5 linked regions of the Macaca mulatta genome follow. The protein of the gene in region 3 interacts with the protein of the main gene of each other region in a biochemical or structural test. Links are inferred from orthologs where the notes say so. Each region holds a gene or a part of one and is shown on either strand. Other genes may lie near its edges. The genes, in order: RGS4, RIC8A, GNAQ, PLCB1 and GRK2.

Region 1 (6,235 bases), on a different chromosome or scaffold from region 3:
ATGTGTACACATTATTTAGCTCCTACTTATAAGTGATAACATGCAATATTTGTCTTTCTGTGTCTGATTTGTTTTACTTACGATAATGGCCCCCAGTTCTATCTAAGTTGCTGCAAAAGGTATGATTTCATTCTTTTTTATGGCTATGTTCTTTCCCAATTTAGATAAAGAACACTGGCACTTGCTCTTACTTCTATTTGGAATACTAATTCCTAGGCTTCTTGCGTTGCTTTCTCCTTCTCACCCATCAAATCTCATTTGAGATACCACCTCTTCAAAGAGGCCTTTCCTGACCACCTTGGCTAAATTAGCCCTTCACCATCTGATTACTCTCTAGCACATCACCTGCCCATTTTATTCATGGTACAGGTCAAAATCTGGAATCACCTGATTTGTTTGTTTTCTGACTCCTTCTACTGGGATGAAACTCTACTACAGTGGAGATTTTGTCTGCTTGTTCACCATGCTAAATACAGTTCTTCAAAGAGTACTTGACACAAACTAGGTAGTCAAAAGATATTTCTTAAACAAATGCATAAATAAAAAGTAGATCTTTTGAGAGTAAATCTCTTCCACACTACCAGAGTCATTCAGGAATGACAAATCACAGAATAACAGAATTTGGTGCTTTGTGCATATCAGAGAAAGAAAGTGGAAGGTTGTCAAGGTATCATGATGTACCAGTCCTCGCCTCCTCAAACACAATCTGCAAGTCCCACAGTGAAAAAATAAGTTAACTCATGTGAAGCATTTTACAAACACTTTTAAAAAAGTTTTAAAACTCCTAGGAAAGCAAGATTTAATAGTCAAAGAAGTGAGTAAATATGAAATGCCTGAACAGAGTAATGAGCTAAGCACAAAGTTAGAGACCTGGTTTTAATAGGGAACCACCACATTGAGGTCTGCAGCAACTCCTGCTTTCACAGAGCAAGAAATTGGGCAAGTGAACACTCCTTGAATAAAATATGTAAAATTAATTTTGGCTTATGTTCTATACTGTGTATAATAGAATGATAAAAATTATTTGATTAGCACTTCACTTTGTAGTTTAGAAATATCTCTATTTACATAGTTTATCTCATTTGAAAAGACGGTTGAGTGATAGGGTAGCATGGTGGACAATCCACATAACTGAGTATCGAGACACCTGTATGTGGACCCAGCTCTGTTAGTGAGAAGCTGTAACCTCAGCAAGCCACTTTCTCTTTCTGGGTCTCTATTTCCTTTTTGATGAAATAAGGGCGTTAGGCTACATTGCCTTTAAAGTCCCATTTTGTCTTTAAAGTCCCATCTATTGCAGTGATTTATATTTAACTCATGACAAATCAGGCTTCTCTTATTCTAAGTCCAAGAGATAAAGCTCTTATTGTGGAATTTCAGGCATCAGTAAACCTTTTCGGGTCCTCACTTATGTTCCTAAAATCAATCTGTTTGAGTGATCACTCTTTTAGGTGTCCATGTAAACAAAGAAGGCTGTGGTCTTTCTTTGAGTGACCTTCTTTCCCTTTTAATTAGTGTGTCCTCTTTAATGTCAGTTCCAACTGATTCCTCTCCCTGGTCCATCTTCCTTGGTCTAAGGGCCTCCCTAATTTCACATTGCACTGCAGTTCCTTCCACACCACCATCAAGAATGGCTGTCAACATTCACTTGTTCTATGTTATAATTCAAGGAAGAGTTGCCCAGTATCTACTCTAATAAATGTCTTTCTATCTTTATGGGCGGCTAGAGGCTTTTTCCTATAATTTAAATGCATCTTCGGTAGATTATGGTCCCTCCACCACCTTACATTTGTCTGCTGTCTCCTTGCTCTGCTAGTCATGGAAGGTGTTGGTAGTGGGAGCAGTGTGGGATGTTCAAGGGCACGTATTGGGTCGGGCCATGTATGGGCATTGCTTTGTGACATTCTTTCTATATTTTTGGTATTTTGCATTTCACTGGAACCTAACTATTTTTCATCTCTTCCACCTAAACCATTTGATGCCTCTGTTTCTTAAATATAAAGTACAGCTCACTGTAGCCTATGATCAGGAACCTATCTGCTCTCAAAATGAAAGCTGTTTTGGTCAGATCTAGCAATTAATTCTCTTCTTCCACTTATAGCTTTCCTCTGTAACTCTGGTGTAGGTATTTGATATATGGCTATAAGATGTGAAACACCTGAATGATTCTCTCCATGCAGGCGTTTCAGTTTATGATATTGTACGTAAAAGATACTAATTGTTCAGGTGTTCAGAAACACCTATAGGGCTTAATATTCTTAACGATTCGTTTTAAGGCTGGTGATACGCAAAGCAAACTACGTATTTTTCTGCCTGCTCTGTCTCTTTCTCTCTACATCCCTCTTTCTTTATCTTTTGAAATATCAGTTTGGAGACTTAGAATTACATAAGACATAAACCCATTTGATATAAGAATTGCTGTGTATATTTGCTCACCTACTCCCTCCTTTGGTCCTCAAGCTGCTGGTTTAGACTTTTTACAGGACACAGGCATGTAAAGGAGAAACTGTCAGTGCTAGGCTGAATTCTGTTGTTACCAAGATTTCTAGAAAAGTATTCCTCAGTCAGGTTGATTACGGATATAGCAAATCTATTTTTCCTAGGGTAGTTTCTCTATGCAGCCGGGCTTATAACTGTCTGTCATCCAGCTATTTCTCTCCACCTTCTTGTTTGCATAACAACCAAGGCAACTTCTGCAAATCACTGCGTGGAGACGATGATCCTGCCAGCTCCCTTTTGGAAATCGTGAGGATCAGATCTGGGACCATGTATCATATGATGCTTCTAATCCAAAAGAGGAAGGGCACTGGGAGTCAGCTCCTAAGTAAGCTTCAGAATTCCTGCTGGTACTTTTCCTTCCAGGAAGCAACTTTCCTTGATATTGTTTTTTACAGAAATATGAATGAATACTATATTTTGCAGCATTGTACACTTTTTTCCTTTTCTAGAAATTCTAAACCTCTGACACTGGTAGAGACATTGAGTACATTTTTTTCCATATCCCTACTTTGCTGAAGGATTTTCTCTGCTCGTTCACTTAGCATTGCTGATGCGTCAGTCTTTTCCTCCTCATCTCTTTCAGGGGCTGGAGAGGCAGAGGGAGACAGAGGAGCTGGTACTGCAGAGCTGTCGTCTGATTGGCTGGACCGTCGTAGCTGGGCTATAAAAGAGACCCCTACAGGCTTAGGAGGAAGACGCTCAGAGGATTCTGAAAATATCTTTACCGGAGAAGAGGCAAAGTACGCTCAAAGCCGAAGCCACAGCTCCTCCTGCCGCATTTCTTTCCTGCTTGCGAATCCCAAGCTGTTAAATAAGATGTGCAAAGGGCTTGCAGGTCTGCCGGCTTCTTGCTTAAGGAGGTAAGATTGCTTTCAGTCATTAACCGTATTAAACTTTTGGATAGACTTTCTCAGTTATTTACATGTTGTACTTACTAACCTAGTTCTGTGCAATTAGAAACAGTGTGGTCAGGAGAGCACGACTTTCTAACTTTCCTCCAAGACTAGCTAGATACTGTGACTTAAGACATGTGCTCCCCAAATTTCAGTCCTTATGTATTGTTTCATGTGACCTCAGTTTTGAGAACTGTTCTTTAAGCCAGGTCTAAGCAAGCTAGTTTTAATTAAGAAGTGAGATGAGGCTTGAGGCTATGTATAGTGGTCTGCAATATCTCCATCTGTGATTACTGCTGTTATTTAAGCATCCCTGGAGTACATAGAAGCCTGGGTCTGGGTTTTCTGATTGTATGCTACATCTTGTTTCAGGAAAGGTACCCCAGAATGAGGTTTGGCTCCATCATCAGAAAGGCACTATGCTTTCTGTGTAGTGCTGCAGTATCTTTCACTCTCTATGTTCTTATAAGCAAATGTTACAATAAGATATGAGTTCCAAAGCCAGATCTTCCTTATCTCTCTGCCCCATCTCTAGTTCTTAAAGTGTCTTATATGAGTGTGGTTGAGAAGTATTGATCATTACAAATCAGTTAACAGTTTTGTAGATCTCACCTTAAAGATATTGTTTTGTTAATATACTCTCTTGATTTTTTAAAAAGACTTTACAGACATACAGCTATTCATTTGTTTTTCGTTTGTTCAAAAAAGGTATAAACAAATGCATTCAGAGAATGATCGTATAGTAGTCAGTTGAAAATTAAACACAAAATGAGTGCATATTACATTACTTAATCTTGCAGTTAAAGGTAAAAAGTCAATCTAAAGGTATACTACCTGCTTTCTTATCGCGCTGCAAATAGAAATTACCCCAAATTTTATTTTGGAAATAGTCTCAGAAAACATAATTTTTTATGTACTATTAAAACATTTACTTTTCAAATATTCTGTCATTCAGGAGTATGGAAGTATCTATGGCTTCTTTAAAATGAAGCAGGAGGGTCTGGCAGAGAGTATCTATGAAATAAGTTCCTCTGACCTTCACGCTTAATTTTCTGAATGGAGTGGAGCAAATTACTTCAAGCTTCAGTTAACTTACATATGAAATGAACTATACAAAAATACAAGAGTGTCAGGAGAAAGTTATGTCCTGGTAAATATTTTGCAAAACAGATAAAAGTTAATACTAGAGCTCTGTCCTCAAAGAGTTAAGCAGCTAATCTAAGGAGGTAAACTCTATGTCAGCAGAATGAACTGCCCTTCCCTTTCCTCACCAGTAAATTGCAAATCGTCTAGTCCAACATCTTTGCCACCAGTGCCTGAGGCTCCACAGGAGCCATCGCCTGCTCAAGGTCACATAGGTTGGTGGGTGAATTAGGACCAAATCTAGATTTCCTGACTCCAATAACTTCTGAAGTCATTTTGGTTTTTATTTTTATGTTTTTTTTTTTTTTAAATAAGAATACTTGCTAAGCACACTTAGCCCCTGCATTGATCAACAACTCTCAGATCTCAGGTGGATCCAGCACATAGAAATATGAATTCATTTCTATTTGGACTTCATGATATACTTATATTATCACCTTGGAATCACCCTAACATTCAGGATTATATCCTGTTATCATCAAAAAAGATGTTGCATCCCCTGAGCAGTCATCAGTCAGGGAAGCAGAGGAAGGAAAGTAATCTTGCAAGGAAGAGAAAATACTATTTAAGGGGCAGTCAGAGAACATAATGGAATTCAAACTTTCTGGGAAAACCTACATACATAAATGTATTAGGGGCTATGTTAAATGTCTTTCTGTCTTTGAGGCTTTATTTTCCCCACTCCAAATAGACACATTTAGTTATTCATTTCTCTTAAAATGGTATTTCTATTTTTAAATTATTTCTTGGCCTTTTTAATAAAAGAGATGCAAGCAAGAGGATATTTAATAAAAAGTAAGAGAGTTGAGCTTAAGGCTTATTAAAAGACCCCCTTTTTCTAGTTAGTCAGGAGCCCTATTGTGCCAGGCTACCTATTAAATGGTGGCAATAAATGGTGGAAGCTCAGTGATGACTCTAGCCTGCTTCTCCTAATAGCTTTTAAGCCTCAAATGCCCTTTAGAGTGTGTATGTCCTTTAAAGTAGCATTAAAAAGGAAAGCAGCAGCAGCAGATACTGTCTGGAAAGAAGCCCCAAGGGGCTGAGGTTTCAGCTTTTGGGCATTTGCTTTCACCGTCCCATGTTCCATTTCCCTCTGCTGGGGCTGCGCACCTCAGTGTATTCTTCCTCTATACCTCATAGCAGGAACTGCGTGGCCCCCACATACATGACTGGAACTGAATAGACTTTTACAGTTCCCTCTGCCTGCAGGGGAACAGATGGAAATAGCAATCACCTGCCAGAAGGTGGCGTGCAGCAAGGATGTGCATCTTTTGCCGCTACTGCTTTCCAACTCCTAAAAATTACTCAGAGATCACTCATGTTTTCAGTGATTCAGGTTCTACTGAAGATACCAAAGGTATTCTGTTGGTCAAAATGACAGGCATATAAAGGCTTCTGAGGTTTCTGAGGTAAACTGAAGGGTCAGAATTCCAGTTGTGAATGAAGGAACTAGTGTTACGACTCTGCCTCAAGGTTTTGTAGCAAGTCGTAGGGAACCAAAAGAGGAATCTTGTTTTCCTGAGAGTTCATGCCAACTCCAACTCCCATTCCCTAAACTGTCTCTGAGCCATAGACTAGTAATGGACTCTTCAAGCTCTATCATTAGGTATCTTTTAAAGAAAGCTGGTTATCACTATTTATTCATTATTTTTATCTTCTGTGCAGTGCAAAAGATATGAAACATCGGCTAGGTTTCCTGC
Region 2 (4,547 bases), on a different chromosome or scaffold from region 3:
GCTTCCCACTGGGTACCTTCAGGTTTCTGGGTGTCAGACATGGAGAGAACAGGACCTCCCAGCGTGTTGGGACAAGGCCAAGGAGATGCCAGTTCTGGGCTGGGACCTTAGGGGAGGATTCTGAGGGAAGTAGAGGCCCCTTCTGGCTCTTGCTGCCTGGCAGGGGGCTGTGTGCTCTCCGGGGAGACTGTAAGAGATCCTCCACCATGAGGCTGTGAGTGGGGCTGAGACAGAGTGTGACTTCATCCCAAGGGTGTGTGTTAACATTCCTAATCAGGGACGTGCTCTTAGAAGAATACTCATGGAGTTTTTAGGAAGACAGCAGTGGTCATCTTTTGCCCCCAGCACTAGCCAGAGTCACCTAGGAGACCCCAGGGGACCAAGTGTGCAGTACAGGAGGTGCACAGTCATTGCCACACAGTTCTGGAGTGCAACAGACAGTAGAGCCTCAGCAGGCAGCAGTGGGATGAGTGGGGCTCCTCACAGGAACCCTTCTTTCTTTGGTCAGGAAGACGCTGCTCTTTACCGACACCTGGGGACCCTTCTCCGGCACTGTGTGATGATTGCTACTGCTGGAGACCGCACAGAGGAGTTCCATGGGTGAGGATGGGGCTTTTTCTGGGAGGGAAGTGTGTCCACATGTTTAGATGGTCATCCTCAGCCCTGGCCGTGAACCAGAACCACCTGAGAGCCCAGGCCCCACCCTAGAGGGTCTGACTTTGTCTGGGTGAGTGAGACTGGACATCGGTGTGTTTCCAGAGAATACTGGGTGCTTCTAATATGTGGCCAGGACAACAGCCATGAATTTGGGGGCAGGAATGTGCCACCTGGGCCTTGGGTAGTGGCAACAGACAGTGTGGTATTTACTAGGGCACATTGGCTCCTTGTCCCCATTCTTGGTCCACCTGCCCCTTGGCTGGTGTGGTTTCCAGAGATGGTCTGGCACTTTGGCCCAGACAGGGTAGGGGAGGCAGGGTGTCTCAGCCCCCACTTCCCCAGGGGACCCCACTGTACAGCTGAGTGGCAGTGCCTCTCAGATCAGTCCCTGCCCTTGGCTTTGGTCCCCAGTGCCGCCCCTTTGGGCCTCAGACGCCAGCTCATGTAATGTGTGGTTCAGTGGGGGCACAAAGATTGCATCTGTGCTGAGGGATTAGCCCTATTGAGACCCCCACCTCCATCTGTCAGCCACGCAGTGAACCTCCTGGGGAACTTGCCTCTCAAGTGTCTGGATGTTCTCCTCACCCTGGAGCCACACGAAGACTCCGTGGAGTTCATGGGAGTGAATATGGATGTGATTCGTGCCCTCCTCATCTTCCTAGAGAAGCGTTTGCACCAGGTAGGCTGGGGATGGCTGTACAGGCTCCCCCAGTGGCTCTGGCACTGGTTCTCCTGCACAGCTGTGGTCAGTGCTTCTCCACTGGCCACATTGGTAAGTGGAAATCATCTTGGTGGTGTGATACAGGTGATTCTTCCGGCTGTTCTGTGGTCCAGCCTGGCAACAAGCTAGACCCTTCCTTCATGAGAAGCATGTGGACACCTTCCACACACTTGAAGGTTTCACTTCTTAAATCTTTGTGGATCTTTATTGAGTGGTCCTGAGAAGCCCCCAAGTCCCTGCTTTTAACTCTCAGACACAGGCAGCCCTTGACTACAAGCATAGCTGTCCCTCAACATCCTGAGGAGACCCATAGGAACCTCAGATCAAAGCTTCCCTCTGATTCCTGTGACTGCACTACAGGGCATCTGGATAGCTAGGGCTCTAACCATCCTCCAGGAGCTTGCAGAAAGCAGGCTGGAGCACAATAAACCGAGATTTAGGAGACCTCTCGGGAATCTACCTGCCTAAGCAGGGGACACACATGGTGCGTGAGAGCCAGTCAGGGTAGGGAGCTGGCACTGGACATACAGCCGGGGGGTTGTCTGTGCCTGTCGCTGTCGCTGCCACTGCTGGTGCTGGGGTCCAGGCACATTATGCTAGGAGGGTCAGGAACTCCCTGCTCTCTGTCCATGAAGTACCCAGAGTGGGGATTCGGTTCTCGTTTCTTTTTGCCACCAACATCTGAGGGCAATGTGTGTGCCAGTCTAAAGCTTTAATTGCTTTGTGTTTTCTTCCCAGCCCTGGTTTATAGTTGAGGTAATTAGACTTAAAGCAGTTATTTCTCCCAAGTCACCAAGCTTACAACAAGTACCTCTGAGTGAAGCTCTGTGCCCGTCCTTTTCAAAAGTGACACAGACACCCACCACCCACTCTTGGCCTTCTGCTGACTAACTGCAGAGGGGCCTCTTCCCAAACCTGTGCCACCAGGACCAGCTGCTGTGTATGTTGGTGGGAAGGGGCGGTGGGGGGTGTAACTCTGCGCCAGTCTCAAATTAGGCAGGAGCACAGCCACGGTGACAGAGGCTCCTCTACAGACACACAGGCTGAAGGAGAGCGTAGCTCCCGTGCTGAGCGTGCTGACCGAATGTGCCCGGATGCACCGCCCAGCCAGGAAGTTCCTGAAGGCCCAGGTATGAGACTGAGGAGCTGGCACTCCTGGGGGATGTGGTTTCGGCCCTGATCACAGACCAAGCCCAAGCTTAGGGACGGCCACCTCCCCAGGTGCTGCCCCCTCTGCGGGATGTGAGGACACGGCCTGAGGTTGGGGAGATGCTGCGAAACAAGCTTGTCCGCCTCATGACACACCTGGACACAGATGTGAAGAGAGTGGCCGCCGAGTTCTTGTTTGTCCTGTGCTCTGAGAGTGGTGAGTTATGGAGATCCGGGTCCCAGCGCCCCCACCTCAGCCAGGCTTGCACACTGACCTCTGCCTTGCCCCCCAGTGCCCCGATTCATCAAGTACACAGGCTATGGGAATGCTGCTGGCCTTCTGGCTGCCAGGGGCCTCATGGCGGGAGGCCGGCCTGAGGGCCAGTACTCGGAGGATGAGGACACAGACACAGACGAGTACAAGGAAGCCAAGGCCAGGTGTGTGCCCCCAACACCCCCTCGGGTCTCCACTCAAAGCCCCTAGTCCCTGCTTCGACATCCATGTGGACCACTGTAGGGTGGGACAGGATGACCAGTGGGCAAGACCTTCCAGAATCAAGCACCTGTCCCTAAGTGCTATCTGGGATACCAGAAGGTGGCAGGTGGCAGTTGCTGGTTACCAGTGCCGCTTCTGGAGGGAGGCCTCTTCCTGCAGTTGCCTTGCCCACCTCGCCCCACTGGGAAAAGAGGTGGCTTGCCTCCTGTCCTGGAGAGTCACTAATGCATTCCCCACATTCCACCTGCTGGGAAACAGCATAAACCCGGTGACCGGGAGGGTGGAGGAGAAGCCGCCTAACCCTATGGAGGGCATGACGGAGGAGCAGAAGGAGCACGAGGCCATGAAGCTGGTGACCATGTTTGACAAGCTCTCCAGGTGTGTGGCATGATGAGGAGGGGCCTGTAGCTGGGAGAAGAGAGAGCTGACCCACATCCTGTCTTGTGAGCCCCAGGAGGTAGGATCAGAGGAGAGCTTAGGATCCTGGTGTTAGGTTGCATTGCTGATGTTTGAAATCACTTGCCCTAGAGGAAATCCCCCCAGGGGATGGGTGTATTGAGATCAGTATTGTGCCCATTTTACAGATGATAACTGAGGCCCAGAGAAATTAAAGAGACTGTCTAAGGCTGGGCATGGCAGCTCACGCCTGTAATCCCAGTACTTTGGGAGGCTGAGGCAGGTGGATCACAAGGTCAGGAGATCAAGAGCATCCTGGCCAACATGGTGAAACCCCGTCTCTGCTAAAATACAAAAAAAAGTTAGCTGGGCGTGGTGGTGGGTGCCTGTAGTCCTAGCTACTTGGGAGGTCAAGGCAGGGGAATCACTTGAACCTGAGAGGCAGAGATTGTAGTGAGCTGAGATTGCGCCACTACACTCCAGCCTGGCGACAGAGTGAGACTTCGTCTCAAAAAAAAAAAAAAGAGATGGTCTAACATTGCTACACTTATTGGAGATGGCCCAGTGTCCAAATGAACAGACTGCTTAAGACCAATTTAGATGTCTAAATTAAGAAACTGCTTAAAGCCATGAGGTAGCAGTTAGGATTTGGGCCCAATTAACGGAAGGTCCAACCAGGCTTCCCCCGTAAATGAGAGCAGCTTACTTGGTGAAGAGGAAGGTAGCAGCCAGGGGTGAGCAGGACCCCTGCCTGGCCAACTGGGCCCCTTCCCCAGCCCCATTGCACCTTTCCCCACAGGAACAGAGTCATCCAGCCAATGGGGATGAGTCCCCGGGGTCATCTTACGTCCCTGCAGGATGCCATGTGCGAGACTATGGAGCAGCAGCTCTCCTCAGACCCTGACTCGGACCCTGACTGAGGATGGCAGCTCTTCTGCTCTCCCATCAGAACTGGTGCTGCTTCCAGAGACTCCTTGGGGTTGCAACCTGGGGAAGCCACATCCCACTGGCTCCACGCTCCTCTCTCCATCTTAGAAACCCCTTCTCTTTACTCCCAAGGTTCTGTTCATGATTTGCCTCTGGTCCAGTTTCTTATCTCTGGACTGCAGTGGTCTTCTTGTGCTAGAA
Region 3 (6,190 bases):
TAATAAATAAATTCATTTACTCAGCCAATATTTATTGAGAACATTCTACGAGTTAGATATTGTGCTTGAAGCTGGGATTTAATAGTGAGTAAAACAGACACAACTCATACTCTCATATGTCTGCAGTGTACAACAGGAAGAAAATCTATGCTCATATACAAAATTCAGTTCAGAATTCCAAGAGCATTTAAGGTCTTCCATTTAAGACTGGCCTATCGCGACCAGCCTAACATGGTAAAACCCCAGCTCTACTAAATATAAAAACAAATAGCTAGGCGTGGTGGCGTATGCCTGTAATCCAAGCTACTTGGGAGGCTGAGACAGGAGAATCGCTTGTACCTGGGAGGCAGAAGTTGCAGTGAGCTGAGGTCAAGCCATTGCACTCCTGCCTGGGCAACAAGAGCAAAACTCCATCTCAAAAAAAAAAAAAAAAGAAGACTGGCCTAAACTTTGCCTGTTTCAATAGCGATAATTCAATCAATTAAAGGGGGTTTGCTAAATCCTATTTGATAATTAAGATCTAAAGAGTAAAAGACTTCAAAAACATGTAAAATAAGAACAGGTTAATAGGAAAAAAATGTTTCTTCTAGGAACTGAAAAAAATTTCAGGATAACTATATGTAACATGAAGCAGGCATTCAAGGCCATTTGTATTACACAGACTTACAGACAAATTACATTAAATGAGGTTATCTACGTACCACCAATAGAAATATTTAGTGAATATTCATGAAAATTAATCAATTAAAGGAAATATGTGCTTTACACCTACAAAATACACAAAAACATTAACCAAGTAAAAATGAAGTATGCTCTTGTGTATCTACATTGAATGCAGAGACTAAGTTTTGAGTGTCAAAATAAACACTAATATAAATGAATTCAAAGAATGAGTAAGTTAAAAGACAACAAGAAAATAATTCAAAATTTAATGTAATATTCTTATAGTGGTAGATTTCAGGGTTCACGTTTCTAAAGTTAAAATAAAATATATAATATATAAGCATATGGAATAAATTTGGAAGATTAGCACAGTTGCCGAATATAAATCAAAATAGCCCAAATTTTACTGCCATACTTTCATCTAGTCAGGTACCTACTACTTGCCTTTTTAAATGTCTCCATATTATTAATATACAAAAGTAAATAATTGTATGAGCAAATGCAAGGGTACCCACTTTTATCCCTGTCAAACAAATCCTTTTCCATTAAAATGGCATCAAGTCTTGAACTAAAATTTACTTTGAAAACAATTTTATACTGAATTTCATTTCAAAATACAGTTATTCCTCCATAAACTGGTTAAAAATATTAGTAGATCTTTAAACTGTGAATGGATACATTCTATAATCTCCTCTGGACAGGTTTTGTTTAAATGATAGAAGGAACCAGAACATTCAGTCTACTCATCAAAGCAGCAAATCAGGAATTCCTCAAATGAAATCCTTCCCTAATATCTTCCTTGTTGAAATCAACCATCCTGGATTCAAAAACTCCTGAAATCACACTCATACACACACATGCACGCACAAATCCACATTTAGCGTACATTACTATATAGTGTATTGTGGTATTTATGTTGCAAAGGCAACATACCAAGAACATGAAGCAGTAACAATACTTGCATGATGTTCCGCGAATAAGAGGAAAAAAAAGTTCTCCACACTACCACCACTTTAGCAGTAAAACTGGTTTACACTTTTTCTCAGAAAATTATCTCCAAGTTCATTTTTAAAAGCACAGTGTTATTTAAACACACAGTATGGAATTAAGCATCCATGTAAGTGTATTTCCCTTAAACATTCAAACCTAGGCCCATTGACAAACCGGTTCCCTGGGCTTCAACTCTTAGCTGCTGGGAAACTCAGAGCTGTCACTTTTCAGGCAAACAGGGTTGGCTGGAGAGACCTCAACTGCCCAGTTCACAGTTAAACAGAAACAAAGACTGTCAACAGGGCAACAGAAGAAACAAACAATTCTTAAAACAAGTCTCTCTAAAATACGTGCTTTTCCCCTTAATCATGCACTTAAACACTCTACATATTTCTTTTGTTCTTTATTTTCTTCTCAATCTTGAGAACTCAGAAAACATTCCACTGCCTGTTTTCAGCCATTAGAAGTAGCTCAAAATGAGAATTTAAAAAAAAAAAATCTTTACTTTCCAACTGCAGTTTGCCTCCTCCCTGGCTTCATTCCCCTAAGCCCACCTCTTTCATCTAGTGTTTCGCCTTCAGTTCTTTATAAACATGTGCCCATTTATCTGAGTTTCAAAATGAAGACATAAAGCATGTCATGTGAATTAACTATTAGTAACTATGTGTGTGATCAGTATATTTTGCTCCTGCTTGTAAATGATACAGTACATAAGCAGTTCATTCCCAAAGGCAATTGGTTCCTTGAGCCAGCAAATGGAATGCTCAAGATAAGAAAGAAAATGCATGCTTCTCAAACACCAACTGACAGTACAATATTCTTTTCTTACAGAAATGTTTGAGAAACACATTTATTATACATGCAAATATCCAGAACACAAGACATTTTTCAGGCCTGTTACTGCAAAGCTGTTTGCTCTTCCCACCACAATAGCTCAGGGTTCTGTCACTGTGGCTTGTATGTGAATCCTGATCGCTTGATTCTGAACATCCTCTCTGAGATAATCATCAATAAATTTCTATTTGAGAAATGGCATTTTCTTGCTAACTTAGAGCTAAAGCAGAATTTTTTTTCAAGACTAGAGGAAAATTTTTCCTGTATGCTTCCCGTTTTCCTTCTAGCCCAGATTCCAAAGATATTAAAATGCTATGTGTTTTAAACAAAAGGTTTCTATTTGTTGCCAAGAGAGTAACTGAGAGACTGCACTGGTTTTCGGCAGTAACTATTGTGAATTCAGGCCTACATCTGGGTTGCCTCATTAAACAAAAGATACCGGTCGCTGTCAACAACCACACAGCACAACACTCCCCTACCCTCATCTTTATCTAGAAGCAATGGTGCAGACGAGAATCACGCCTGTCACCATCCACTAGCCAAGAAACTCTTCTAGGCTCCCTCCTTTCGATGGTCTGGTGGCTAGAGAACAGCACTTCTGTGACACATTTGGGCTCGCCCTCCCGCCCCGCCCCCAATACACAGGCCCTTTCCTTGGAGGGCCAACCACTTGGCTTCCTCATCATCAGTGCTCCGGGAATCCAGTTGCGAGTCTGCCCACCGTTCCCCCATTCCCTCCTGACCCCAGAGGGCACTGATAATGGATGCACACCGGCCACCCCACCGCAGGCCATCTCCCAACGTGCCCCAGCTCCGCTCGCCACCCGCTGGGCCACACACACGGCTCCCCGCGCCACCACCCCATGGGATGCCGCGGCCACGACACTGGAAGTTCAACCCCTCTGCCCACCTTTCCACCCCCGCGCCTCTGGCCGGAGTGATCTGCCATTTAGCAGATGCACAGCAGATAAGGCACAGCCCTCAGGGACCCAAAAAGAAAAAAGCCGAGACACCCGGCAGGGCAGCCGCGACCCCTCTGCTGCGTGTGTGTATCTGGGTGGGTGGGTGGGTGGGGGTGTGTGTGTGTGTGTGTGTGTGTGTGTAACGCGCCTGCGTGTGTGTATCTGGGTGTGTGTGTGTGTGTGTAACGCGCCCGCGCGCCCGCGCGGGTGAAGGCAGTGGCCGGGGGCGCGCCCGGGAGGGTAGGGGCTAGCCGGGGGCGCCGGGGGGCGGGGGACGCCGAGAGGGCAGCTGTCCCGCAGGGCCAAGGATGGTGGGCTGGGGGCGCAGAGGCCCGGCGGGGCCCCGGGCGGTACTCACCGAGCAGCAGCAGCTTGAGCTCCCGGCGGGCGTCCCGCTTGTCCCTGCGGAGCTGCCGCTCGATCTCGTCGTTGATCCGCCGGGCTTCCTTGGCCTCCTCGCTCAGGCAGCACGCCATGATGGACTCCAGAGTCATTCTTCCAAAGTGCCTCCGCTGTAGCCCCGCCGGCACCCCCTGCTCACAGCGCGCACACACACCCTCCCGCCCTCGCTCCCCCGAGGCAGCGGTGGCCGCCGAGCCCCCGCCGCCCGGGCGCGCGGCCGGGACGAGCTCCGGGAACCGCCGCGGGGGCAGCGGCCGGAGCCGGAGCCACCAGGTGGGCCGGGGGCGCGGTGGGAGCGGATGGCCTGGGCCGACGGGAGAAGCGAGGCGGGCGCGGGAGGCGGGCGCTGGCTCGGGGGGCGCGTGAGAGAAGGCCGCCGCGCCCGGCCTCGCTCAGACGCCCGCGCCTCCTTCCCCAGGAACGGGCGGCCCGCCTCGCCCCCCGAGCCGCCGCCGCCGCCGCCGCCTGTGAGGCTCCCCTACGCCGTGCGCCTGGCGGCGAGAGCTCATCCACCGGGGTGTCCCCGCAGCGAGCGGCCGCCGACGGCTCCCCGCGCCCGGCGCGCCCGCTCCTCGCCGCCGCCTGACACGGCTCCCGGGCGCCTTCGGCCCTGTCCGCGCCCACCGCCCGGCTCGCGCGCAGACCCGGTTCCCGGCCCGCCCGGCAACCGCGCGCTCCTCCGCCTCCGCCTCCGCCCCCGCCCCCGCCAGACGCCCACCCCCTGCCCCGATTGCCAGGCGCGGAGCGGCTGCTCAGTGCGCGCCCTCCCCCTCGCCACACACACACATTTTCTTCTTTCTCTGAACTGGAGCACAGATCCGGGAGGGAGGAGGCGGCGGCGAAAGGAGGAGGGGAGGAGGCGGAGGGGACGGGCGCGGGAGGAGGGGAGCCGGGAGGCGGTGCCGCCCGGCCCCTCCTGGAAGGCTTTCCTGGGCTCGCGGCCGCCGCGGCGCGCCTCCCAGTGCGGCTCTCGCCTCGCCCGCGCGGCTCCCGGGCTGGGCCGGCTCTCTCGGGCTCTGCGGACGCCCACTGCTCCCGTACCCTCGGCAGAGCCCGCTGGCGCCGCGGTCACGGCCGCCCCCGGCCGCCGACGTGCAGCCCGAGCCGGCGGTCGCCGCTGCGTGCTAGGACCGCCGCCGACCTGCGGCTGCCGTCCGGCCGGGCGTGGTGAGGCGGGAAAATGGCGGTCTCTGCCTGCCTCAGCCCACCGGCCCGGGAGCGCGGCCGCGGCCCCTGCTGAAGTCGCGGGAGGCGGCCCCGCGGAGCCCCGCACGCGCTCCCTGCGGCGCCGGCGCTGGCGTCCGCGGCTCCCGCGCTGTGCCTGTGTGCTCCGCGGGGACGCTCCTCAGCCGCTTCTGTGTTTCCCGTTCCTATTTCTAAAACGCCATTCGGTTAGAAACTCTCGTGTCACCTCTGACCCCGGTGCAGTCTTAGAAAATAAGATCCTCTATACTGTGGGGGGCAACTGGGGAAGGGAAGGAATTGGCACCGGTGCCCGGAGGCACAGGGGGAGATTCACAGGCGAAGCTGTCCGCAAAGTAACGAGAGATAGAAATCTAAATCCTGAGCAGAGAAAGGAAGCTGCCCAAGTTTCCCAGCCTCCCGATAGGTTCCAACTTTTCATGCCTTTGTTTTTTTGGTGGTGGTTGGTTGTTTCTGTTTTTTTTTAAGTTGTTATTGTTTTTGTTTCACAAGTTCTCTTGTTTCTGACAAGGCACACAATGTTTAACCGCCGAGTAATCGAATTTACCCTTCTAGACTGAGATTGAATTATGGATGACTTATGGGAAAATGTTAAATAATATGAAATAAACGGAAAGGAAACAATGAAATAGAAGAGAAACTAAGGTGGCCCCAGCAAAGTGGCATTCTAGTTTTTTTGGTTTGCAATATTTGATTGAGGCAGTTAAGTGTCGTGTGCATATTTCATTGTGATCGTCTGCTGATAAATAGCACACGAAAATAATCTCGTTCAATCAGGTCCAGGAGGTGAAACTCATACTGCTTCCTGCCTTAAAGGAATCTGAGATCTTCAAAGAAAATTGTCTTTTATGACGAGAACCGCTTTTTCACGTTTCATGTGTTCTCTGAAGTGTCCCTGGTGCAACCTGCTGATCCAGAGTGTAAGGTATGGTCATGACTTTGCTTTTGCTACAGATCAAGAATTCATATAGGGTTCTTAGACAACAGGTGTGTAACTTCCTTCTTTCTTTCATTTGCCATTACTCCACCCTTTCACACACATACACACACTCTAAACCAGAATTTAAATCAAGCAAGTCAAGATACAAAATGTACATTTTAGGTTCTCTCTTTAAAACCTAGAAAATAATTAAATT
Region 4 (6,297 bases), on a different chromosome or scaffold from region 3:
ATTAGCAAACCAAGGCTGCTGGCTAGAGGGACTGTGGACTATTCAGGTTTTAGTTTAGGGACATGTGATCAAAATGAAACAAGTCAGTTTTTCATGAAATTCTTTGTAGCAAGTGGCTTCCAAGCACAAGGCAAGACCCCCAAATGAGCAGGAATCATGGGTCTTGTTCACCAGGTTATCCATGGTGATTACAATAGTGGCTAGTATACAGCTGGCTACCAATAAGTATATTTTAAATGCATTGAAATATTTAATAGCAATTTTCTGTATTGGATTTTGGTAATCTTTTGACTGAGTTCTTAAACATTGGGCCTTGGAGTCCTGAGGGCAGAGAACAGGGAGAATGAAGAATTAAGAGAAAGTAGTGTTTCTCTCCATTTTTCTCTCTTCATGGTCTTTCTTCTTTTAAAAAATCAACCTGTTTGAGATATAATTTACTTAAAACAAACTGCACTCAATTTAGGCATACTTACAGAACGTACAGGTTTTGATAAATATACACACGTGATATAGAACATTTCCGACATGTTCAACAGGTGCTGGTAGCCCTTCCCTGTCCATCTCTACCTATCCCTGGCCACAGGCAAGCTTTCTGTCAACATAGAATATGTTGCCTGTTCTGTAGTTGCTACACATGGAATCATGCTCGTGTCCGGCTTCTTTTACTAAGCTTAAAGTCGCGATTCATCCCTGCCCTTGCATGCCCACTCATTTTTATTGTGGAATAGTATTCCAATGTTTGGGCATACCACAGTTTGTTTATCCATTCACCCGTTGATTGACATATGTGGGCTACTAAGAAGAAAGTTATTCACATCACTTTACAAATCCCTGTGGACTTGCATTTTAATTTCTCTTGCACAAATACCTAGGAGTGGAATTTCTAGGTTGTATGATAAGTAAATATCTTACTTTATTAGAAACTGTTCTCCAAAGTGGCTTTACTATTTTATATTCCCTCCAGCAATGAACGAGAGTTCCAGTTGCTCCACATCCTTTCAAGCATTTGGTATTATCAGTCTTTAAAATTTTATCCATTCTGGTTCCCCTCTTTCCCTTCTTCCCTCCCTCCCGTGCTTGAATTGAGAAATGTTTGTGGAAGGAGTGAAGACAAACATTCCTGGACCTACGTTCCTAAATGAGCAAGTTTCTATTAGTAAGACTCTCCCCGACCCGCTTCACATCCTACATACTCAAGGAGAGGCGCGGGAGAGGGGATCCTCTTTCTTCCTTGGAAAATAAAACCTTTGCTTTCTTTAGGGTGGGCTTTCTATCTCAAAAGCGCAAAGTAACCGTTTGCCCAGGTTTCAAGATCAGCGCGCTGCAAACTCTCAGCCGTGGCGAGGTTTCCTCAAAGAGCCTCTCAGCTGCGCTCGTCTCTGCTGATAAATGATAATTCTTTTCTCAAAAAAGCTGGTTTGTGGCCGGCGCTGGAGTGCTCCAGCTACAGTTGAAAGCTGCGGGTTGCCTCCGGTTCCTCCGAATGGGTCCCTTTTCCCACCCGGTTGGGATCCAAAGACGCTCCGGAACTCGAGCCCAAGTTCCCAAGAAAACCCCAAAGAGCGTAAGGCTCCTGGGGACCCCTAACACCCCTGCAACCAGGGCACCAGGCATGCTCAGAGCGAATGCGGGAGGCAGGCGTTGGCTGCAATGGGGCTCAGGAGCCAGGAGGTGCCGCTGCATCCCCGCTTCCTGGCGCCTGACCCAGCGTGCAAAGTTGGGCTGGGAGCCGCGGGGGGAAGGAAGGACCCAGCGAGCGAGGGTGGCGGGGAAGGGGGTGGGGGGAGGAGGAAGGAGGAGGGAAAAGAGCGCGGAGCGGGGGCGCCGGGCGTGTGTCACTCTCTCTCTCCCTCTGTGTATAGAGGATGTGCTGAATGGTGCGCTTTGAGGCGGCGGCGGCGGAGGAGCAGAATCCGCCGCGACTGGCAGCCTCGGCTGCCCGGCTCGGCTTCTCTTCGCCTTCCGAGGCTCCTCATCCACCGCGGGTTCCCGACCTCGCGTCCCGCCTGGGGCATGGCCCGGCGCTGCGCCCCCGCGCGCTCTGCCTGCTGAGCGGCGCCGGAGGGAGGTGCGGAGGCCGGGAGGCCGGGGAGGCCGGCGGGGGAGAAGAGTCGAGCGCCTCAGGAGCAGAGAAAGGAGCCCGCGCCCCGCGCCCCGCGCGCGGTTCCCAGTCCCTGCCGCGCTCGCCCGGGCCGCCCGGAGCCCAGATGAGCCCAGATGGCCGGGGCTCAACCCGGAGTGCACGCCTTGCAACTCAAGCCCGTGTGCGTGTCCGACAGCCTCAAGAAGGGCATCAAATTCGTCAAGTGGGATGATGTAAGTATTGGGGCGGCGCGAGTCGGGGCGCTGGCTCGGGCACCGGGCAGGGCGGGCGTCGTGGGGGTGGGGCGAGGGGCGCGTTATGCAATGGGCGCACTGGGAGCGGGCAGGGGCCGCCTCGGGCGCACAGGTTGGCATCTGCCAAAGCGGATGTCCAAGGGCAGAAGCTTTGCGCGCGCTCCTGTTTTATCGGGCTTTAGTAGTTGCCATCCTTTCTGGGTCTGGCAAGCGCCCCCTGAGGGTCTTAAATCTTTTGGGCCAGTGGAGAGGGAGGGGCAAGCTTTGCCTGGTGACAGGTCCTGAAAGTTCGCGAAGTAGGGAGTGTGAAGTTGAGACCAACTGGAAAGCGCCTGGTGTGAACAAGTCGCGTCCCTCTCTGCCTGCGGACGCACCCCCTATTACCTCTTTTGCCCGATTTCAAGAAGGAAGGGCCTGAAGTCCACAACACTTAGTGATTGCGAACCCTCTTAGCGCTTTTGTGGGAGCCCACGCGGCGGAGGACACAACGGTCCAGCCAACAGGTGGTCGTTGATGCCAAACTTCAGCGCCTGGCTCCGGAGTGAGGGTCCCTGAAAAGGGCTGCGGGGACACATCTGGGGAGGGCGTGAACAGAATGGGGGCCCTTGAGGGGTCCTGGAGGACTCACGGGCCTGCAGGCAAGTGGAGAGGGCTGACTTTTGAGAACTGAGCTGATTGGAGTCTTCTGCCTGAAATAGACACGTTGAGGGGTTGCCCCAGGACTTACCTGCACCATTTGCCAGGTAGGGCAGAGCCTAGCCCAGCGCCAGGGTCTCTAATGCTTTACGTGCAGCCCAGACCCCACGACTTCAAATGACTTCCCCTTCCCCTTTACCCCAGTTGTCTTCAAAACACATAAATTAGTCATCCAGCTGAAAACATGCGAATCTTCTGATGGAGAGCATTATGGCATCAATTTTATGTCCTGGGTGTCATTCAAAAGGTTCGATAAGAAAAACCTACCGAAATAAATCCGAGTTGCCAGGTTCTAAGGAAATTTAAGTCCAAATGACTAATACATCTCTTAATCAGAAGGAATTATAGGAGAATGAGGCGTTCTTCTTGCCGAAAAGATTTTCCACCTAGTAAATTATAGCCTGTTATTCTCTAGGGTATTTTTCTTTAATCTTCTTAAGCCATTTTCCAGTGTCTGAAAACAATTTAAATATTCCAGGTAGTGAATCCAATTACTTAGCTGAGTGCGTCTGTGTCTATATTTTGTCCAGCTGGAAGCGCAAATGGAACTTGGAGTATGAACCACAGCTTCCTTGAAAGCTCATGCCAATTATTAAATGCTGTAGGCAAGGATGTAAACATACATCTTTTTTACCATGGGCTTCACACTTTTCTTCTTTCTGTTCCAGTCTAATTGGACTGAATGTTTTTGTAAATGGAATAGAATCTAAACAATAAATTCAGACGCAGATTAAATTCTTTGTGTCAGGGAAAAAAAAAAAGACAAAGAAAATGCAGTTCAGCAATAAATAAGACAGTCTTGCCCATTTTGAGATCCTTGAATAGAGAGGTGATGTGATGACGGATTTACTGAGAAAGAGAGTGAAGGGCAGAAGGAAGAGAAAGAGACTTTGCAGAATTTAAAAAGGGAGTTTCAGCATAAGCTCTGGATTTATATACAGTGATGATTCTAAACTGTATTTTAAATAATTCTCTATAATTTCTTGTTTTGGAGAAAATAGCCAACATCACGTTGAGAATGAAAGTATTCTATGAAAACACATTTTGATATATCCAGGTAGATGACTTTCATTATGTACCTTTCTGTAACACGTATTTCTTGCTCACCTATTATTGCCAATCCTAGACTGGATCTTGGGGTGGTGAAAAAGTAGACAAAATCCCTGCTGTTGTGGACCTTACATGCTAGGTGGAGGAGACAAAAATCATCAAAACACCAATGAGAGAGAGATTGGGTGATGCATTGAGGGTAATAGAGAGGATGTTCGTGAAATACCAACCAAAGAAGAAGTTGAAAAGAGCTCCCTCTGAGCATTGCAGCAATGAGTTTCCAAGGAAGCCCTCCTGGAAGGAAAGACGTAGGCACTAAGGAGAAGGCCAGTAGAATCTCAGGTGTTTTTTTTTTTTTTTTTTTTTAAACAACAAAACAAAACAAAAAAAACCTAGACTGCACTCAGGAGTCAAGTTATCTGGAATATAATGAGCTATACTGCAGGCTCTTTGGTTCTCTGGGTCTTCATGCTGATCAGTGGACTACAAGGGACCCAGCCTTTCTTAGGGTTGCCTTTTTCCTCCCCAGGCATCCCTCATCTACTCTTCTCAGCTCATATTTGCCCTTACAGAATCAAGCCAGTTCAAGTTATCTGGCTATTTATATTGTACCTTAGTGAGACAGTGTGTTGAAGACAAAAAAGAACTAGATCTTGAATCAAAGGCCTCAGTTTACCTCTTAGTTGTTTCACCAGTAAGCTACATGACTTTAGGCCAATCACTTAACTTTTCTGTATGTTTGCTGCTGCTTGTGTAAAAGTGTGGTAATGTTACAGGACATTCAAAAATGATGAATTTGGGGCTGTTTAGGATGTGAAGAAATTATCTCTTGTTCCTGAAGTGATTAAAGCAGTATAATCACTGGTCTTGTTGTCCTGACCACCATATGGAATGGAAGATGTCACCCAGAGGGTGCAGTGCCATGCATAATTTGTTGGCCACCTACTAAGTCACGGTGAGGCTGTGGATGCTCTAAGGGTGGTAGTCAAAAGCTTTAACATAGGCACTAAACAATTACAACAGACAGCAGGTGCGTAATAGATCCTGGAAATACCCTGTTGTACCAGGGCCAGGCATTAATGTTTTTGCTGCTTGATCATGAGGAGGTCTGGGAGTCCCCAGGGTCTGTGGATGGGTGGATAGGTAGGTGGGGTTTTTTTTGACTATTTCAGTATTTTAAAACTCATGGTGTATACGGTCTGAACATCAAGGCTATACTTGTCCTCCTGAACTTGGCATGAAGATAAACCACTGACCTAATGATATTTTAAAAATTCAACCTCGTATCTTTGCTTTTGTTTTGCATTTGTCTATTAGCAGGCTCTGGTGGTAGGAGGTGGGTGTTAAGGACTGTGGGTATTGTGGAAGAATTCTGGTGAGGTAGACAGTGGAAGGAGAGTTACTTTCTTGATCTAAGCTAGGGAGCTTGGGAGATTGTGAGAGAAACTCCTTTCTCTTCTGGACCTTGGCCTTGGTCTATATTGGACAGGACATGGAGAGAAAGAGGAACGACTGTAAACTGTACAATAGGACCTCCAACCACTGATTTGGCCCTGTTTTCCATGCTTAAGCACTCTGTCTCACTGTCCCATAACCTCTGAGGGATGGAAGGGCTTTCATTTGTTTATTCCTTCTGTTTCTTCATTCTTACCTTTCAAATTCAGATCTTACTGTGGGCAGGTTGCGTAATGCATCCCAACTTCAATTTCCTTAACGGTAACATGCAAATTGTAATATTTCCTAACTCATAGAACAGCTGTTGAGGTTAGATGAATGAATGCATATACATTGCTTTGTAAAAAGCCTGATATACAGGCAACCTTCCATAAAACATGTTTTTAAGTTATTGTCCCTCAGAAATAAGATGGATGTGAATTTTATCAAGGTGGTTAGTAGGTGTTCTATGGCTCTTCTATTCTTCTTGTGGAAAAATTCAGACCTTACTTCCATTCCCTTTAATGTGTGTTTTGATTTTATATTTTATAATTTGGAGAAAAATCAGGTTTCTTACCTTCTTTTAAAAATCCACGTGTTTCATGGAAAATAAGTCTACGTAATTTAGAGCAGAACCCACTCTCTACAGCAAGTCAGTTTACAAATAATCCAAAAGTTTATTTTCACTTAAATTTCATATATGTGTATGGATATATGTGTATATAATTTTACATTGCACATTTTGTCTTACAAGCATATTCTAACACGGAAAAATAATGG
Region 5 (6,279 bases), on a different chromosome or scaffold from region 3:
GACAGGGAAGCCAGAAAGGGGCAGGAAGGAGGAAACTCTCGGTGGGGAGGGACCAGGAAACAGCCAAGAAATCGGGAGGCTGCAAGAGGCACCTGGCTCTGACAATCTGCTGCTGGGGCTGCCACTGTCACTGGGGAGGGCAGAGGAACCTCCTGGGAGCGCCCAGGCAGGGCTCCTCAGCTAGGAGCCCAGAGATTAATTACACCAGGCCTCAGTGGTCATATCAAGCAAATGATGAAAATTACAAGACTGCTGGCTGCCGGGAAAGGGAGACGGCAGTTCCTTCAGGGCAAGGTCCAGACCACAGACCCTGAGAGTGAAGGGGCAGCCCCCTAAATTTACCAAGGTGGAAAACGAGGCAGGCCCAGTCAGGCTAAGGGACTGGCCTGGGTCCCATGTGGGCTGGTGGTAGAGGGAGAAGCCAGGTCTCCCATCCTCCAGATACACAATGCTGCCTTACGCTGCCTCCTTCTAGAAGAAGGTCGGGGAAAGGGACTGTTTCCTCGGATTCTATAGGGTGACAGAAGGGGAGGCCCCTGTACCAACTCAATGTGGCACTGTGCCTAACCACTCCCATTCCCTAGGCATTGGAACTCAGAGCTGTGATGCCAGCCCCAGCTCTCGGCCAAGCCACATCCCCAGGCACCAGCCATGGAGGGACTGCCAAGGTGGGCCACCTCAAGGTGTGAACAATTCCCAGAGGCACCCTGTCACGGGGACAAGCCACAGCCCCTCTCCCTGACTCTGACCTTGACCTTGGGGGTATGGGGAAGACAGGCTCCTGCATCTGATGGGACCCCGGAGTGGAGCTGCCCCTCGAGGCAGTAGCTTTGCCAGGGCAGCTCAATTCTCCATCCCAGCCAACAGGAAGGGGGCTGAGCCTTGTGAACTGTGACAGCCAATGGCCCCAGACAAGCGGTGCCAGTCAGCCCACGCCGCAAAATGTGGACAGGGGTGAGAACAGTGGTGTGCAGGGGTGGGTGGAGGGGATAAAGCACAGCAGAGAAACAGCACTGGCCTGTGTGGTCCAGAAACCTGAGGCCCCATTCCAGCTTTCTTCTGTGACGAGAACACGACTCCTCCCCTCCCTGAGCCTCAATGACTTCAACTGCTAAAGGGGAGAATCCCATCTGCTGGGCCTGCCTCCCACAGTTGTCAAAAGGACAAAATGGAGTAAAAAGCACTCTGCAAACGGAAAAGTGTCGGGCAAACATGAGACGTGGTCAGGATCACCATCGGGGCGGCGGGGGGTGCGCTCTGCCCCACTGGGTGTGCAAGGCAAGGCATTATGCAAAGGGTGGCTTGCTCCCTAATGCCCCAGGCCTGGACCCCCATGTAGGGGTGGCCCATAGCCCTTCCCAGGCCTTAGCACACTGACATTCGGCGCTCGCACCTCCAGTCCATTTCACAGATGTGGGCAATTTGCGGAAGGCCATGCTGCTGATGGTGACCCAATGTGAAAACCTGGGCTGCCTGGCTCCGCCTCCTGCTGTCCTCCTAGAATCCTATCCAACCTTGTTTCTGCTCAGGACTGCCTGGGGCGTCACACAGTCCTGGTATTTCTTGGGCAACTACTACATGCAAGGCATGGCCTTGCCAGCTTCACAGGTTGGTTGAAGAATTGAGAGGACAGATGTCAAAACAGGTAAGTCAGTAATAACTCCTATCATTATTGCTATCATCGCCATCACTGCTGTGGATGGGAAAGGGGACAGGAAAAGAAGAACATCTCGTTTCTCCGGGTTCTGACACCTGCAGAGCCAAGGCGGCACCCCATCAGAAGCAATGCATTCTGGGGGGAAAAGTACACGAACGCAGACAGTTCCAGAAAAGGTCCCACCTCACACATTGCCGAACTCCATCCTGCAGGAGGGTCTCAAAGCTGCGGCCACGAAGGAGAGCCGTTTTGAGCCCTAGAGGCTGACTCCCCCATTTCCTCCCTCGTGGGTTTGTCATTTCTGAACTCATTTCTGCACTAACCGTCACTGCTCCCTGGACAGCCCCCAGCTGACAGTCAGTCTGGTTCCTGTTTTGAGAAATCTGATTGCAAATATCTTAGAAAAAAAAGGCCCTAACGGCCTTTTCAGAATGCAGACCAATTTTCCTCTCCCCGGCCTGACGTTCAGTCAATCCAAACACCCAGTGAGCAGGGCATGGCAGAGGGGGCCGGTGAGGGCCATGGGCATGGCACCCCTGCAGCGTCAGCCCAGGCTTAGACAGACACTTCAAAGGCTGAGGGACATCACAGAGTCACAACTCTTATTTCACGCCATCCACATTTCACAGATGAGAAGACTGAGGCCCAGTGAGGGAAGGGACTTGCCCACAGTCACAAGATAAGACCACGGCAGTGTGGACAGGCCCCATTCCCAGCCTGCTGGGGCACCAGGAGGCTAACTCTCAGGCATGCACGAGGAGTTGCCACACGACACAAAGGACCGTGGCGGGCACATCTGCTCCCTGGCGCAGGCCAGGGCAGCCAATGAAATGTAGAACCGGAAGTCTGAAGCCCTGATCTGTTGGCCAGGTGCCACCTGAGACTACCTGTGTGACTTGGCGCAGGCCACTCACCTCTGGAGCTTCAGTTTCCCCACCTGTTCCACAGGGACAAAACCACACCTGTCCTGGCCACCCCATTCGCTGCTGAGAGGCTCACACAGTGGAGAGATACTCCATCAGCCATAAAGAGCTGGACAAACCGCAGCAATCGTCCACATCCTGTGTACTTTTGCACCTACATCCTGAACAGTCTAAACTTTGATACCAGGTGTGATGTCAGTTGTCTTACAGGGGCGGCAGCTAAGGTCCAGCTGTTGCCAGTGTGCTGGGAGGGCCCCTGGTCAACAGCACCCACCGGGCACCATATGCAGTGCACGCCCGAGAAGGAATGTGGGGGAGAGGGCACGGCATGTTTCCCCCACCTGAGCGCGGTCCGAGGGGGAGGGCGTCCGCAGCACCCTAGGTCCTGCTCACCACGCCGCCCCGAAAGCACTCTCAAGCCCAACTACAGGATAGCGACTCCACCAGAGGGTGGGAGAAGAGTCCGGAAAACTGGCTGTCCCCCCACACCTCACACAAGTGTAGACTGGAGGGGAGACGGGTGGGGGTAGTGGAAACCCCAAGGCGGGTGCCGTGAGCAGGGACAGCAAAAGGGTGGGTGACATCGTCAGGCGAGGTAAATGGTGGCCGGCGGAGGGGAAGGGACCCCACAGGGACCAAGGGCTGCTCGGAGGAGGATGAAGGGGCGCGCCGGGCCCCTGTGGGAGAAGGCGGGAGCTAGGGGCTGACAGCGACTGGAGCGGGGGGCCGGCGGAACGCGATAAGGAAGCAGCAGGGCGGCCGGCGGGACCGGAGCGGGCCCGGGGGCCGAAGGGGCAGAGGAGCTCCGGAGTTGGGGCGCTCCGGGCTCAGGCGCCCGGGGTCTGGGGCTTAGCGTCTGGACCCGCAGGCGCCACGGCCGGGCTGCTCCGGGCTCGGGGGCCGACAGAGGGTCGCGAGAGCCGGCCCCGGGGGTCCAAGTCGCGGGGTCGAGTGTGGGGCCAGGGTCTCGGAGTCGCGGCCGGGGTGCCCGCGGGGTCGGGCCGGGGCCGCGGGCGACTTCTCCTCACCTGGGCTCGGGCAGCAGGATCTTCTTGCTGGCGCGCGCGGCCGGCGTGGCCTTGCTCTTCTCCATGGCCATCAGGTAGCTCACGTCGGCCAGCACCGCCTCCAGGTCCGCCATCTTGGCGGCGGCGCTGCCTCCTCCCGCCGCCGCCGCCGCCGCCGCCGCCGCCGCTCCCGCTCGCTCGGCGCTCGGCCCGGTCCGGCCGCGGCTCGGTCGGCCTGGGGCGCCGACGCCTCCCGCCTGGCCCCGCTCGGCGCCCGCGGCTCCGCTCGCCGCCGCTCACAGGCGGCGCCGCCCCATGGCGCCGGCTCGGGCCCGGCCCCGGCTCGCGCTCCGCTCCCGCCGGGACTGCAGTCGGGGCGCCGCCGCCGCCGCCGCCGCCGCCCGCGCGCCCGCGCCCCGGAGCCGCCGCCGCCTCCGGCCCCGCCTGCCGCGCACAGCGCCAGCGAGCCCGCAAGTGGCCGAGCCGGGCGGGCGATGGTGCCCCCTGGAGGCCGCGCGGAGACCTGCGACAGAGGGCTCAGATCCTGGCGGTGACCTCGGGTCTGGACGGAGACCCGGGCCTGGAACAAGACAGGGACCCGGCACGGAAGACGATCCCAGACCCATTCCTTGACCACAACCTCGGGTCACATCTCTGAATCCCAGGCTCTCCAGTCAGGCCGTGGTCCTGACAACAGACATGATCACAAGGAACCTGGACGCTCACCAAGACACAGATTCAGACCTCTGAACACCACCCCGGGGCTTTCATCTCAGACCCTGGCTATAACCCCAGACTCCCTGACCTTTGACGCAGTCCACGACCTGACACCAGACTCCAAACAGGACCCCAGACTCAAACCTTTGCCCGCCACCTCAGACTCTAACCATGACCTCAGATCACAGCCCTGGGTCTCCAACGCCATACCCAGACTGTGACACTCACCCCAGACCCCTAACAGTTCCCCAGATCCAGATTTTGGACCATGACCTCGATCTCATCCTGGTTACTGACCCCAACCTTGACTCTGACCCTAGGCCACTACCATGACCCTGCATCCTAGACTTGGGGTCAGGGCTCAGACCTAGATTGGACTATCAACTCCAGACCACTGTCCTAGGCTCAACACCCAGAACTGTGGACACAGACTTGGGACTAGGACATCTAACCTGGGACCCACATTGGACCCAGAATCCTTAGTAGGTCACCCAGAACCTGGGATCTGACAACTACAGTCCAATTACAGCCTTCCCCCATCCCCGATCCCACCCCTCCTACTCTAGAACCAATCCTGGCCCCTGCAGGCCCACTCTGGATCAAGTACCCTACACCCAACCCCACCCCCTAACAGGCTCGTAGACCCAGGTCCCTGGCCAGCACTCTTGGCAGCTCCCTTCCGTGTACCCCATCCCATCTAGACGCTCCTTCAGGATGGTTCCACATGTAGGGTGAAACCTCTCCCAGCCTGGGAGGGCACAGAGGTTTCAGTGCTGCCTGGTAGGGGAAACCCACCCGAGAGCCCACCCAGAGTGAGGAAAGCCAGGTGTCTCAAGGCAGCAGTCCTATCTCAACATGCCCCTCTCTAGACCCTCTCTTTGCTTTTGAAGTGATAGGACCCTCCTCCCAGCCCTGGGCACATAGAGCTCAAATCTCATTACCATGTTGTGGGCCAGCAACCAGGATCCTTTTGCAAAGCAAGGCTCCCATCTCTGTGCACTTCTAGGCTACCTTCTTGGATCAGTCCCAACAGAACCTGGAACCAGAGCATATCAGAGCTAGTGAGGTTCTCCTCTCAGTGAGTGGTGAGCCCCAGGTTTCTTTTCCCTAACTGCTCCTTCATTTTCTCCCCTTCTCTAATTTGTCACTATAGTCTCCTGTCTGGCCTCCTGAGAATCTCCTTGAATCTGTCTACTTCTCAGGGTCCTATGGCCAGCCACTGCCCTGATGCAGGCCCTGACCAGAGATGCCTTTCCCAGGTCTAGATCTGATGGAGTCACTGCCTGCTTGGCACCAAGAAGCAGCTCTCCAGGCCTTCTGGGGCTACTGAGAGTGAGAGACCTAGAGGGGTCTCTAGGACTCACCCCACTCTGCCCAAAGCAGGTTAGGTGAACAAACTCCTTAATCTGCAAGTCAAGATCTTGGAGGACTTGGACCTTGGATGCTCCCGTTTGTTTTGCTACCATCCTCTGCACCTGGAGCTCCCCCACCAACTCACCCACCCATTCTCACTTCTGTGCCTCTGCTGTTTCCTGGGCCTGGAAGCCCTTCTGTGTACCTTCCTCCCTGGCCAACTCCTACTTATCCGCTAAGACTCACCTCCTCCCGGCAGTCTTCCCTGACTCCCTGACCCCAACTATGTACATCTCCAATTCTACACTTCCCACCTTCTAGGCCCTATTTTCCATCTTCAGTTGCAAGATGCATCATTGCAAGATGCATCATTGCAAGTTTTGAGAGTGGGGAGTGAAGTCTCATTACATATCTGCATCAATTGGAAAATGCATCGTGATGTTGGAAATGCTGTTATATATATTTAAAGAGTACATACTGTCCCCCACTGTCACTGGTGCTCCTAGTTCATCCCTTGCTCCCAGTGCCCACCACAGGACCTGACTCAAAGGCGTCAATGTTTGAGGAGTGAATGAATGAGTGAATGAGCTGTTGGAGCACATGGGGTTTGGAGTGGAACAAG

The links.
Region 1: the proteins of GNAQ (region 3) and RGS4 form a complex in vitro, tested with the Homo sapiens proteins (3 studies listed by BioGRID). The link is inferred for Macaca mulatta from reciprocal best matches to the Homo sapiens genes GNAQ and RGS4.
Region 2: the proteins of GNAQ (region 3) and RIC8A form a complex in vitro, tested with the Homo sapiens proteins (2 studies listed by BioGRID). The link is inferred for Macaca mulatta from reciprocal best matches to the Homo sapiens genes GNAQ and RIC8A.
Region 4: the proteins of GNAQ (region 3) and PLCB1 form a complex in vitro, tested with the Homo sapiens proteins (2 studies listed by BioGRID, with this or other methods). The link is inferred for Macaca mulatta from reciprocal best matches to the Homo sapiens genes GNAQ and PLCB1.
Region 5: the proteins of GNAQ (region 3) and GRK2 form a complex in vitro, tested with the Homo sapiens proteins (3 studies listed by BioGRID). The link is inferred for Macaca mulatta from reciprocal best matches to the Homo sapiens genes GNAQ and GRK2.

What each region holds. Positions count from the first base shown.
Region 1 is NC_133406.1:20,798,973-20,805,207, forward strand, and holds the start of RGS4 (regulator of G-protein signaling 4), read left to right. Parts: upstream 1-2,702; 5' UTR 2,703-2,766; coding exon 2,767-2,824; intron 2,825-3,082; coding exon 3,083-3,359; intron 3,360-6,200; coding exon 6,201-6,235. UniProt on the Homo sapiens protein: Inhibits signal transduction by increasing the GTPase activity of G protein alpha subunits thereby driving them into their inactive GDP-bound form. Activity on G(z)-alpha is inhibited by phosphorylation of the G-protein.
Region 2 is NC_133419.1:86,704-91,250, forward strand, and holds part of RIC8A (chaperone Ric-8A), read left to right. Parts: intron 1-508; coding exon 509-600; intron 601-1,185; coding exon 1,186-1,336; intron 1,337-2,412; coding exon 2,413-2,508; intron 2,509-2,581; coding exon 2,582-2,744; intron 2,745-2,820; coding exon 2,821-2,965; intron 2,966-3,281; coding exon 3,282-3,401; intron 3,402-4,218; coding exon 4,219-4,339; 3' UTR 4,340-4,547.
Region 3 is NC_133420.1:109,008,934-109,015,123, forward strand, and holds the start of GNAQ (guanine nucleotide-binding protein G(q) subunit alpha), read right to left. Parts: upstream 3,991-6,190; 5' UTR 3,944-3,990; coding exon 3,808-3,943; intron 1-3,807.
Region 4 is NC_133415.1:75,849,507-75,855,803, reverse strand, and holds the start of PLCB1 (1-phosphatidylinositol 4,5-bisphosphate phosphodiesterase beta-1), read left to right. Parts: upstream 1-2,211; 5' UTR 2,212-2,217; coding exon 2,218-2,316; intron 2,317-6,271; exon of another isoform or gene 6,272-6,297.
Region 5 is NC_133419.1:7,117,281-7,123,559, forward strand, and holds the start of GRK2 (beta-adrenergic receptor kinase 1), read right to left. Parts: upstream 4,064-6,279; 5' UTR 3,722-4,063; coding exon 3,609-3,721; intron 2,754-3,608; exon of another isoform or gene 2,572-2,753; intron 1-2,571. UniProt on the Homo sapiens protein: Specifically phosphorylates the agonist-occupied form of the beta-adrenergic and closely related receptors, probably inducing a desensitization of them. Key regulator of LPAR1 signaling.